Linked DNA regions of Drosophila melanogaster. The gene in region 2 interacts genetically with the main gene of each other region. Each region holds a gene or a part of one and is shown on either strand. Other genes may lie near its edges.

The links.
Region 1: of Pgi (region 2) and Tpi, changing one enhances a phenotype caused by changing the other (phenotypic enhancement), as found in Drosophila melanogaster (one study listed by BioGRID).

The regions. Positions count from the first base shown.
Region 1 is NT_033777.3:30,132,444-30,136,602, forward strand, and holds Tpi (triose phosphate isomerase), read right to left. Parts: upstream 2,157-4,159; 5' UTR 2,091-2,156; coding exon 1,836-2,090; exon of another isoform or gene 1,652-1,835; coding exon 1,067-1,651; intron 1,006-1,066; coding exon 799-1,005; 3' UTR 538-798; downstream 1-537. Other genes in the region: AdoR (adenosine receptor), read right to left, coding at 2,832-3,976, 4,043-4,159.
Region 2 is NT_033778.4:8,910,321-8,915,882, forward strand, and holds Pgi (phosphoglucose isomerase), read right to left. Parts: upstream 3,750-5,562; 5' UTR 3,390-3,749; exon of another isoform or gene 3,251-3,389; 5' UTR 3,247-3,250; coding exon 3,113-3,246; intron 2,868-3,112; coding exon 2,285-2,867; intron 1,937-2,284; coding exon 1,697-1,936; intron 1,635-1,696; coding exon 1,106-1,634; intron 1,051-1,105; coding exon 860-1,050; 3' UTR 580-859; downstream 1-579. Other genes in the region: CG30349 (uncharacterized protein), read left to right, coding at 167-264, 324-487; CG8252 (uncharacterized protein), read right to left, coding at 1-29; lin (lines), read left to right, coding at 4,781-5,562.

The DNA.
Region 1 (4,159 bases), on a different chromosome or scaffold from region 2:
ATGTTTTGAGAAAAACTGAATAATATTTTGTTGATTTACTAACCATAAATTACTTACTAAGCTAAATAACTTATCAGCTACAAAGAAATTGCCTTGTTTAGCTCCATATTTGCCAAACTTTGTGCACAATCTTCGAACACTTCGATTAGAAATGAACTCTGAGTATAAGTATAAAGTATAATAAGTACAAACTGTTTTCCTTTCTTATCTCAAGTTAAGCTATCTTATGATGCATTGCTTCTTCTTGAAGGCTTTTATGCAAGATATTGTCAAAAACATGATGCAAATGATTTGATTCACTTGTTAGGTAAGTGAATACAATGATTGCCTCGATTACTCAGTTGGAACTCATATTCCAAATATTTGCCATTTCGCATGCTTATCAGAAATTAAGTAATAACTTGTTCGGTTTAAGGTCCGCAGAGGTGACACATATATGTACATATGTGCACACAACTTTGGACACCTTGTCGTTCAACCAATCGCTCTAAAAATAGCTGAAATAGTCTTGCAAAAAATAAGACACCTGTTTGGTTTGGTATATAAGTAAATGAGTAGCGCATAATTATTGCCTGAATAATTTAAGATTTACACAATGGACTACTATACGTTCAACAACAAGGATGTGAGTAGCATTCTCGCAAGGTAACTATGAATTTGGAACTGCACTTGGTGGTGACAACAACTAGGTGTGTGCGTAATGCATTCGCGCGCAGGAGTATGGAGTCCTGCCCTCCAGTGCCTCCTTCGCGGGCAGTTCGCTGGCCGAAAGCGATCTGATGCTTGAGATCGCGTTGCTTACTGCCGGGCGTTGATGATGTCCACGAACTCGGGCTTCAGGGAGGCGCCTCCGACCAGGAAGCCATCTATGTCGGGCTTCTTGGCCAGCTCCTTGGCGTTGGCGGCGGTCACGGATCCACCGTACTGGATGCGCAGGCTGGCGGACACCTCCTTGGAGATGTTGTCGCTCAGCCACTGGCGCAGGAAGGCGTGGACCTCTTGAGCCTGCAATTGGGAAGGGAAAATATCAGTTCTGGAAGAGATTAGCCTCTGCGGGCGACCTTACCTGATCGGGTGTGGCGGTCTGGCCGGTGCCAATGGCCCAGACGGGCTCGTAGGCCACCACCACGTTCTTCCAGTCCTTGATCTTCTGGGCGTAGGCGCACATTTGGCGGGCCACCACCTCGTTGGTCTTGCCGGCCTCGCGCTCCTCCAGGGTCTCACCAATGCAGGCGATGACCTTGAGGCCCTCGGCCAGGGCGTGCTCGGCCTTCTCGGCGATCAGGGCGTCCGATTCGCCGAAGATGGCGCGACGCTCCGAGTGTCCCAGGATCACCCAGTCGGCGCCGATGTCCTTCAGCATCGCAGGGGAGATCTCGCCGGTGAATGCGCCCTTGGCCACCTTGTAGGCATTCTGGCCGGCCAGACCCAGCTCGCAGGGCAGCAGGTTGCGGGCGTACATCAGGTAGATGGCCGGGCAGCCGATGACCACCTCCGTGTTGGGGTCGAGGGCGGCCGAGCTCAGGGTCTTGGCGATCTCGGCGATGGACTTCTGGTCGCCGTTCATCTTCCAGTTGCCTCCCACGCAGAACTTTCGGCTCATGTTGTTGCTGTTGCTGTCGGTGCAATCGGTGCTGAAATTGGCGTAGAACTGCGGATCGGGGGACAAAACAAGGGGACTGCTATTAGAGTGTTTGGAACTGATAATTTCAAGTGGGTAACTCGATGACTGGAGGCTCGCCGTCGACTTTTCCACTCAGATTTTTCCCAGATTCGAGATTAATCCCGGCACAGAGCACACACCCACCTCGAAGTTCGTCTGCTTATGTACTAACCTTCTTTTGACCTTCGTAAGTCTTCCACTGGCACTTGAAAAGCTTTGGGAAAACAGCTGTGAATTTGCCCAGCAGAGCTTCCGAAACGACGGCTTTTAGTACCTCCGCCGTAACACCACCCACAGTGGGTCGGTTCTGGTCCATGGTGGGGATGGTGTGGTGGTTCCGATGATACGGGAATCGCTGGAGAAGCGTTACTGATGCAATGCACTGGATACCGTTCCTGTTCAGATCATTGAGTACTCCAGGCGGCATTTCTATTGTGGTTACAATAGTAAGTAAGGAGTAGTAAAAGTTATTCTGAAATTATATAAACGGCTTGTTGGGGTTTTAAAAATGTTGCCGGTTTTAGATTTAGCAGTGACTCCAACCATCTGATGGGGAACTTTGAGCAAGTGAGCTCCAATAGTTTTGGCGTCGCTTCCAAAAAGCTCTGGAAAAGCTTTTATCAACAGGCTTGCCAAAATCCGCTATACTAGCATATGTAAAAGAAAAACTTGTATACCCTACCAATAGGCATACATCGCATCAGGACTTATTTAACCAACAAAAATAAAACACAACATGAATGTACATTCTGGTTTAATCGCTTTATTTAACTTCAACTTTGAAATTCATGTCGCATGGCTTAACTTGGTTTTCACAGACGTTCAGGTATACATAAGCTGACATATACACAGTAAATACTCTAACAACATTAAACATATGTATGTACATAATTAACTAGTCCGTAGAAACGTATTATGACCATACACTCAAAATAAATGCGCATAGCTCCTAATCTCTATATTTCACTACCGAACTAATTGATTTAGATCCGATATAGAATTTGACAACGTTTCCGAAAGAGAGCCTAAGAGAGCTGGAAAGTACTTAACGTAAAAGCTTTGACTTGCGAGTATTTCCTCAGGGGTCACCCCTTACCCCTTTCGCATCCTTGTGATCCTCTTCCAGTGGACTTTCCTGCTGATCCCGCTTCTTTTCCGACCGCGAAGGTCAACTCTCCGCGCTGGTCGCCAGAAGGGACGGCGAGGAGGTGGTCAGACCCACTGGAACCGATTCCTCCTGAGCCTGGCCCATGGGCGGTGGTGATGGAGTGGGCGTGGAGGCCGTGGACGACGCCGTCGATGAGGTGGGACGGGCGGCGTGAGGCTGGAGGAAGTGAAACAAGTTGGAATGCTGCATGAAACTGCCCACCGATCTCAGCGGACTAAAAAAGTTCTCTGTGGGATGGTTGGCTGGCTGCGGATGCTGTGGAAGTACAGAGGACTCCTGATCCCTGCAGAGATTACTGCTGGGCTCGTCGTGGACCCCTCGTCCCTTAGCGATGGAGCTACAGTTGCAGGATCGGCTCTTCTTCAGCGAACTCCGAGTGAATGCCGTGCCCTTTCGATACTTAGGCTTGTGCCCATTTGAGCCGGGACTCGCCTCACTATCGATCACAAAGATACCGGATTGCTCCTGGGGAGCAGGACTCGCCGTGGATCCTGGCAGGCAGTGAGCGCTATTGGAGTTGCCAGCAAGCAGTTTGGCCCTCAGAAGAGCCGGAAGTGGGCCATTTGTGGGAGATGTTTGAGTGGAGAGCGGTCTCTCCCTGGACTGTTCATCTATGGGAAGATCCTGATTGTTGCCCATTGGCCTGGAGTCCGTGTCATCCGATCGCAATTTCTCCCTCATGACCAAAGCCAGGGAGCGACGCAGTTCCACGGGATCTATGCCAGGCTGAACGGGATTTGGAACAGAGCTGGCCGGCACGAATACGTCCTCAAACTCCAGATCATCATCATCTTCGTCCTCATCCTGGCTGAAACTGTAGTTGTGGTTGTCATAGGAGGCGGACGGAACTGAGGGCTTCGCAGGAGCAGGAGGAGCTGGTGGGACTGTGGAACTGCTATTTCGTTCACTGCTGCGCTGGGAACCCGGAGCGGGGGAAGGGAACTCGTAGCTGGTTTCACCCAGCTCGGCGCCACTGGAGGCCTCCACTATGTTCCACATTTCTCGCTCGAGATCTGTGGTCACCGAAGCCACGGCGGCCACCGTTTGGTTGATGTTGTTGAAACAGGGCGACACCACTCCGCACTTGGGCAGGAGCTGGGAGTTCTTCAGGGCCTCCTGCTGCTGCCTCAACCAAATGGGTGAATCTGCAGGGAATGTTACGAGAGTTATAGGGATTTTGCCACAGTTCCAAGGAGACAACGCGCACTCACACTCACCCACATAGAGGCGCGGCTGCGTGGAGCGCATATTGGAGTCCATGGACTGCAGGCGATGCTGACTGGCCACCGAGAAGCGGTGGATTGCCTCCGCCTGCTGATCAATGTCCA
Region 2 (5,562 bases):
TTGTTGTGGGGGCTGGAGAAGTAGTCCATACAGCTAGCGCCATCATTGCACAAAAGATCCATTTTCGAAATCTGGCCACGACAAAATTTAGTAATGCGTGTACTCCTATTATTGTTATATTGGCAATATTGTTATAACACCTTTTCAATGCCTTCTTTATTTTTAGAATAACCGGGCGAGTCAACCTGATAATTAACCAGATGAAACGCAACGCGGACAATCATCTCAACGATAACAAAGCCCTGATCCTGGACGAAGATCCAGGTAAGTTATCAAGTGGTTTTATTCGCACAAGGCTCGAGTCTTAATTCGCTTGCTTGCAGATGAGCCCGATCCCGAAGCAGAAACGAACTGGAGCGATCTGGAGGAGGATCAGCCAGGCAGTCCGAAGAGCCCATTGGAAGACGAGCTGGTGGCCGACGACGACCTGGCGACCGACGATGGTAACGCCGACGCAGACACAGACTCTGACGTATCCATGGATTAGACAGTCTACCCGTAATTTAAGCTTAAATGCAATTCCCTTGTTGTTGCGCCGCGAGAAAATAAATTAGCATTTTTTTCCAAACACAGTCTTTTACATCGAATTCATAAATTTTTATTTACGGTTTTAAACTACGTGCAACAACGAATAGTGAGAGCCAATTGTTGGTCTAATTCCGACACGAGATTTCATCGATACGCAAGCAAACAAACATATCCAGTTCATAAATACAGTTGAATAATGTGCCAATAACAGGGGGCTTGTAGCTCGAGTATACATAAGCGGCGGCTACTGAATAACGGCTCAGAAACTACTAACAATTAGAGCATTTGTGTAAACATTTCTTTTTAATTCGCAACAAATAGCCAGACATGATTACTTCCAATTGGCTTTGATGAAGTTAATTAGACCGTTCGTGGAACTGTCGTGCGTGGAGACCTCGTTGCAGTGATCCAGCTCCGGCTCGATGGCCTTGGCCAGCTGCTTGCCCAGCTCCACACCCCATTGGTCGAACGAGTTGATGTCCCAAATGATGCCCTGAACGAAGATCTTGTGCTCGTACAGCGCTGCAAAATCAATTGACATTAATAGGTGCTCGTGAGCTGAAACAGTGAGACGTACCAATCAACGCGCCTAGGGTGAAAGGTGAAACCTTCTTCACCACAATCGAGTTTGTGGGCCGGTTGCCGACGAACACCTTGTGGGGCAACAAGTTATCCAGCTCGTTGCCGCACAGGCCAGCCTTGGACAGCTCGGTCCTGGCCTCGTCGACCGTCTTTCCGGCCATTAAAGCCTCCGTCTGGGCAAGGAAATTCGATAGCAGAATCTTGTGGTGCTTGCCGCCGGCAATGGGATTGTGTGTCTGGGCGGGAGCGATGAAATCGCAGGGGATCAGGCGGGTGCCCTGGTGGATGAGCTGGTAGAAGGCGTGCTGGCCATTGGTGCCAGGCTCGCCCCACACGATCGGACCAGTGCTGTACTTGACGGGTTTGCCCGACTTGCTGACGAACTTGCCGTTGCTCTCCATATCGCCCTGCTGGAAGTAGGCGGCGAACCGGTGCAAGTACTGATCGTAGGGAAGGAGGGCATGTGTTTCCGCCTTGAAGAAGTTGGAGTACCAAACGCCTAGCAACGCCAGGATAACAGGAGCCTAGGAAAGCCAATAAAATGGTTAACTATAATCATTTTACTTAACTCTCAGTTGAGTCTTACATTCTTCTCGAATGGTGTCGTCTTGAAATGGTTGTCCATGAAGTGAGCTCCATCCAGCAGTTGCTCAAAGTTCTCAAAGCCAATGGACAGACAGATTGACAGTCCAATGGCCGACCACAGGGAGTAGCGACCGCCCACCCAATCCCAAAAACCGAACATGTTGGTGCTGTCAATGCCGAATTCGGTGACCTTTTCCTTGTTGGTCGACAGGGCCACAAAATGCTTGGCCACGGACTCAGGCTAAAACAAAACAAAAATAGTTTGCAAATATAGGCCAGACTAAAATGTTGTGATGTAACTATTTGCTTTGGCTGCGTTATCTATTTTACATTTAAGGCAAGTGGAATTTCATATTGGAAACATTTAATTCGAATTTGAAATCCGATTTAGCCTTTGATTAAGTCCATAGGCTGCATTTGATAAGCACATTAAATTGATTTGATAGCTTGAACACGTCAAAATGGTTCTTATAGAATGATAAGAAAAATCACTAGGGTCCATTGATGGTTCATTGTATTAGTTTGGTTATCTTTGCTTAAAGCGCTATCAATGAAGGTCATTTAATGTTCGACCTTTCGCTGTACTTACCTCCTTGGAATGCTCCAGGAGCCAGGTCTTGGCGGAGGTGGCGTTCGTAATGGTCTCCTGGGTGGTGAAAGTTTTTGAGGCGACAATGAAGAGGGTGGTCTCGTAGTTGACCTTCTTGAGGACCTCGGCCAGATGAGTGCCATCGATGTTCGACACAAAGTGGGAGTGAAGGCCCTTGCCGTAGGGCTTCAGCGCTTCGGTGACCATCAGCGGGCCCAGATCGGAGCCACCGATGCCGATGTTGACCACGTCGGTGATCTGTTTGCCGGTGCAGCCGCGCCACACGCCGGAGATGACCATGTTGGTGAACTCCTTCATGTGGGCCAGTTCGGCGCGCACATCGGGCATCACGTCCTTGTCGTCCACCAGGACGGGATCCGTGCCGCGGTTGCGCAGGGCCGTGTGGAGGACGGCGCGGTTCTCCGTGATGTTAATGTGCTGGCCGGAGAACATGGCGTCCCGCGCGGCGTTAACGCGGCGCACCTTGGCCAGGGTGAGGAGCAGATCCCAGACCTCGTCATTGATACGGTTCTTCGAGTAGTCCAGCAGTATCTCGCCATCGTTCTGGGTGTGCAGGCGCAGGCTGATAAACAAACGAAAAACATTTGACCTCAGAGCAAGTACGATTCGGAGGTCGTTGCTGTGACCTTACGCAAGGACAAATCGAGTGGCGGCGACACTCGACAGCCGATGGTGAAAGTGAAAGTGGGCAAAGCGCAACTCGATGAATAAACGATTGCCGATGGGGGATACACGAATGAGTGTATGTATGCGGGAACTAGATACGTAACTTCCACCCTCTGAGGCGAAATCGACACAAAAACCCACCTGTATTTTGAGAATCTCTTGGAATCCTTCACGAACAGGTCCTTGATGTTCAGGTCCTTGCCCTTGGAGTCGTAGTACTCCTGCAGCTTCTGGAACGCTGCCTCCTGGTTGAGCGGAGGAAGTGGGCCGGCCATCTTACTTCAGTTATCCCAAGCAGGAACAGCAGGCGGATGCGGAGTAGAAGGGCAAGGGAGGACTATTTAGCACTCGATGCAAATTAGTAGCACACGGAGAAGAGAGCACAGGCGAACTGCTTCGACCGCTCGCGACACTTCACTTATAATAGCGGATCCGGCTGCTTAGGCGTCGGGTAGTTCCTATTATCTGGCTCCGGCAAATCTCCAGAGCACCGCACCACAACTTCGCCGTGTTTGCTTTTGATAGGTACTGACTGAGCGGCTGCCGATTTTCCAACGTCCTTTCTGGAATTCGCGAGCACCTTTCAATGTCAAATGAAAAACAAGCGAGTGTTGCCACGTCGGCCGCGCTCTTGTTTTAATGTGCCGATCGGTTTGCAGTGTGTGCGAATTTACTGTGTGTGGCCGCGTGGAGATGAACTGAGAACTTCCTACTCCTAGATCGTCTGCACCGGTAGGCAAAAGGACATAAACTGAAATTTTCAAAACGACTTAACCGCCGCTAACGGCATAATTTTATCTCGATGTGGCAGCACGCTCGGTGTTCAGGGCTGTCAGGTGTCAATGACTATCGAATAGCATTTCTATTATTTAATGTCAAAAATGTAAAAATAAAAACATTCTTAAAATTACTTTAAAGTTACCCGTTAAATTAGCACATATAAATTGAAAAATATTTGTTATCTGTAATTAGCTTCTCACAAAATATTTTTTGTTAAGTTCTCTGCAATCTTATAATTCTCAAGCACTTAATTATTATCACGCATTAGAAAATTAAAACTACCGGAGTCATTGTTATTAGAATTACTTTAGCAAACATTGTTGCTAAAGTTATAAGCGTGCAATAATTATTTTTAAAAAATAATACATTTCGGAAAGTAAAATATATGTGAATTGAGTTGTGACGACAGAGCTATGGTTGCGAGCCTGGCTATGTATATAGCTAACGCCAAATACCAAGATCCGTTTGGCAACGCTGCGCAAGTAGGGTTACCAGGTAGCTGAAACTCGCTAAAAGATGGCGACGCGCACTTAATTTTTGTTTTTTCCCACATAATAAAGTGTAATAAAACCAAAATAAAAGCAGTGCCAGAGAAACAATCGGAGGCGCTTAAAAAGTGAGAAACAGCACACGACCCAATCGACTGGCCCGGGCACGAAGCGAAACGCGAGTGCAGTGAAACTCACATAAACATTGACATGTCGCTGGCCCGAAGAGTGCAACAAGTGTGTGAAAATCGAATTGTGGCCGTTTAAAATGTTTGGAGGAGCAGTCAGAGCACCTGGCGGCAGCTAGAGCGCCCTCGTCGCCCCCAAGAAATCATAGTGTGTCTCAGGAAGCCGAGAGAATCGCCCCACGAAGCCAGGCAGCAGCGTCTGCACACGTAACCTTGTGTGCGCGTAGCACGGAAGCTGTTTGTCGGAATCGGGTTTGTAGGTATGTGGCTGCGAGCCGCCGCTTAGATTCGCTGCTCACCGGGCATTTCGCTTGCAGACCATTTGCAGGACGTCGGGTACGTCAGCGCGGAGGATGGACACCTCATCCGCAGCAGGATCTGGAGCCGGAACGGGCGATGTGTGCCCATGCTCCACGGTAGCAACCTCCACGACCTCCGCATCAAACGAACAGCCGCAGACCAAGCGCCAGAAGATCGAGCAGCAAATCAAGGTGGGCTCCAAGGCGCTGCCACCCCAGCCGCCCCATCCGCCGGATATACTGGACCTGGACGCCAACAGCAACAGCCACCTGTGCTCCTCGCTCTCCTCGTCCTCTTCGCACTCGCTGTCAACGCCAAGCACCGCCAACAACTCCCCCACCACCACGCCCTGTAGTTCCCGGGCGGCGTCGTACGCCCAGCTGCTGCACAACATCTTGCCACAAAACGGGGACACAGACCTGCACAGCCAGCCTGAATCCGCCCATGACGAAGTGGACAGGGCGGCCAAATTGCCCAACCTGCTAACCCTCGACACGACCAACGGCAATGGCAGTCATGCTAGCAGCAGGAGCAATTGCTTGCAAGCAACAACAGCCACGTCCATCGACGATATGCTGGAGTTCGAGCAGTCCCTGACCCGCCAGTGCCTGTGCGGCGTCTCGGAGCGAACGCTGCGCAAGCCCTTCCAGTCGCATTACTCACAGGACACCAACGGCCAGAAACGGATAGCCTACCTGCGGGAGTGGCCCACCAACAAGCTGCTGCAGTTTCTGTCGAATCTGCAGCTACTGTTCGATATCTACCTGAAGCAGAACGCAAAGGGCTTCATCTGCACGCGGATAATGGACGTTTGCGACGCACTCATTCGCAATGA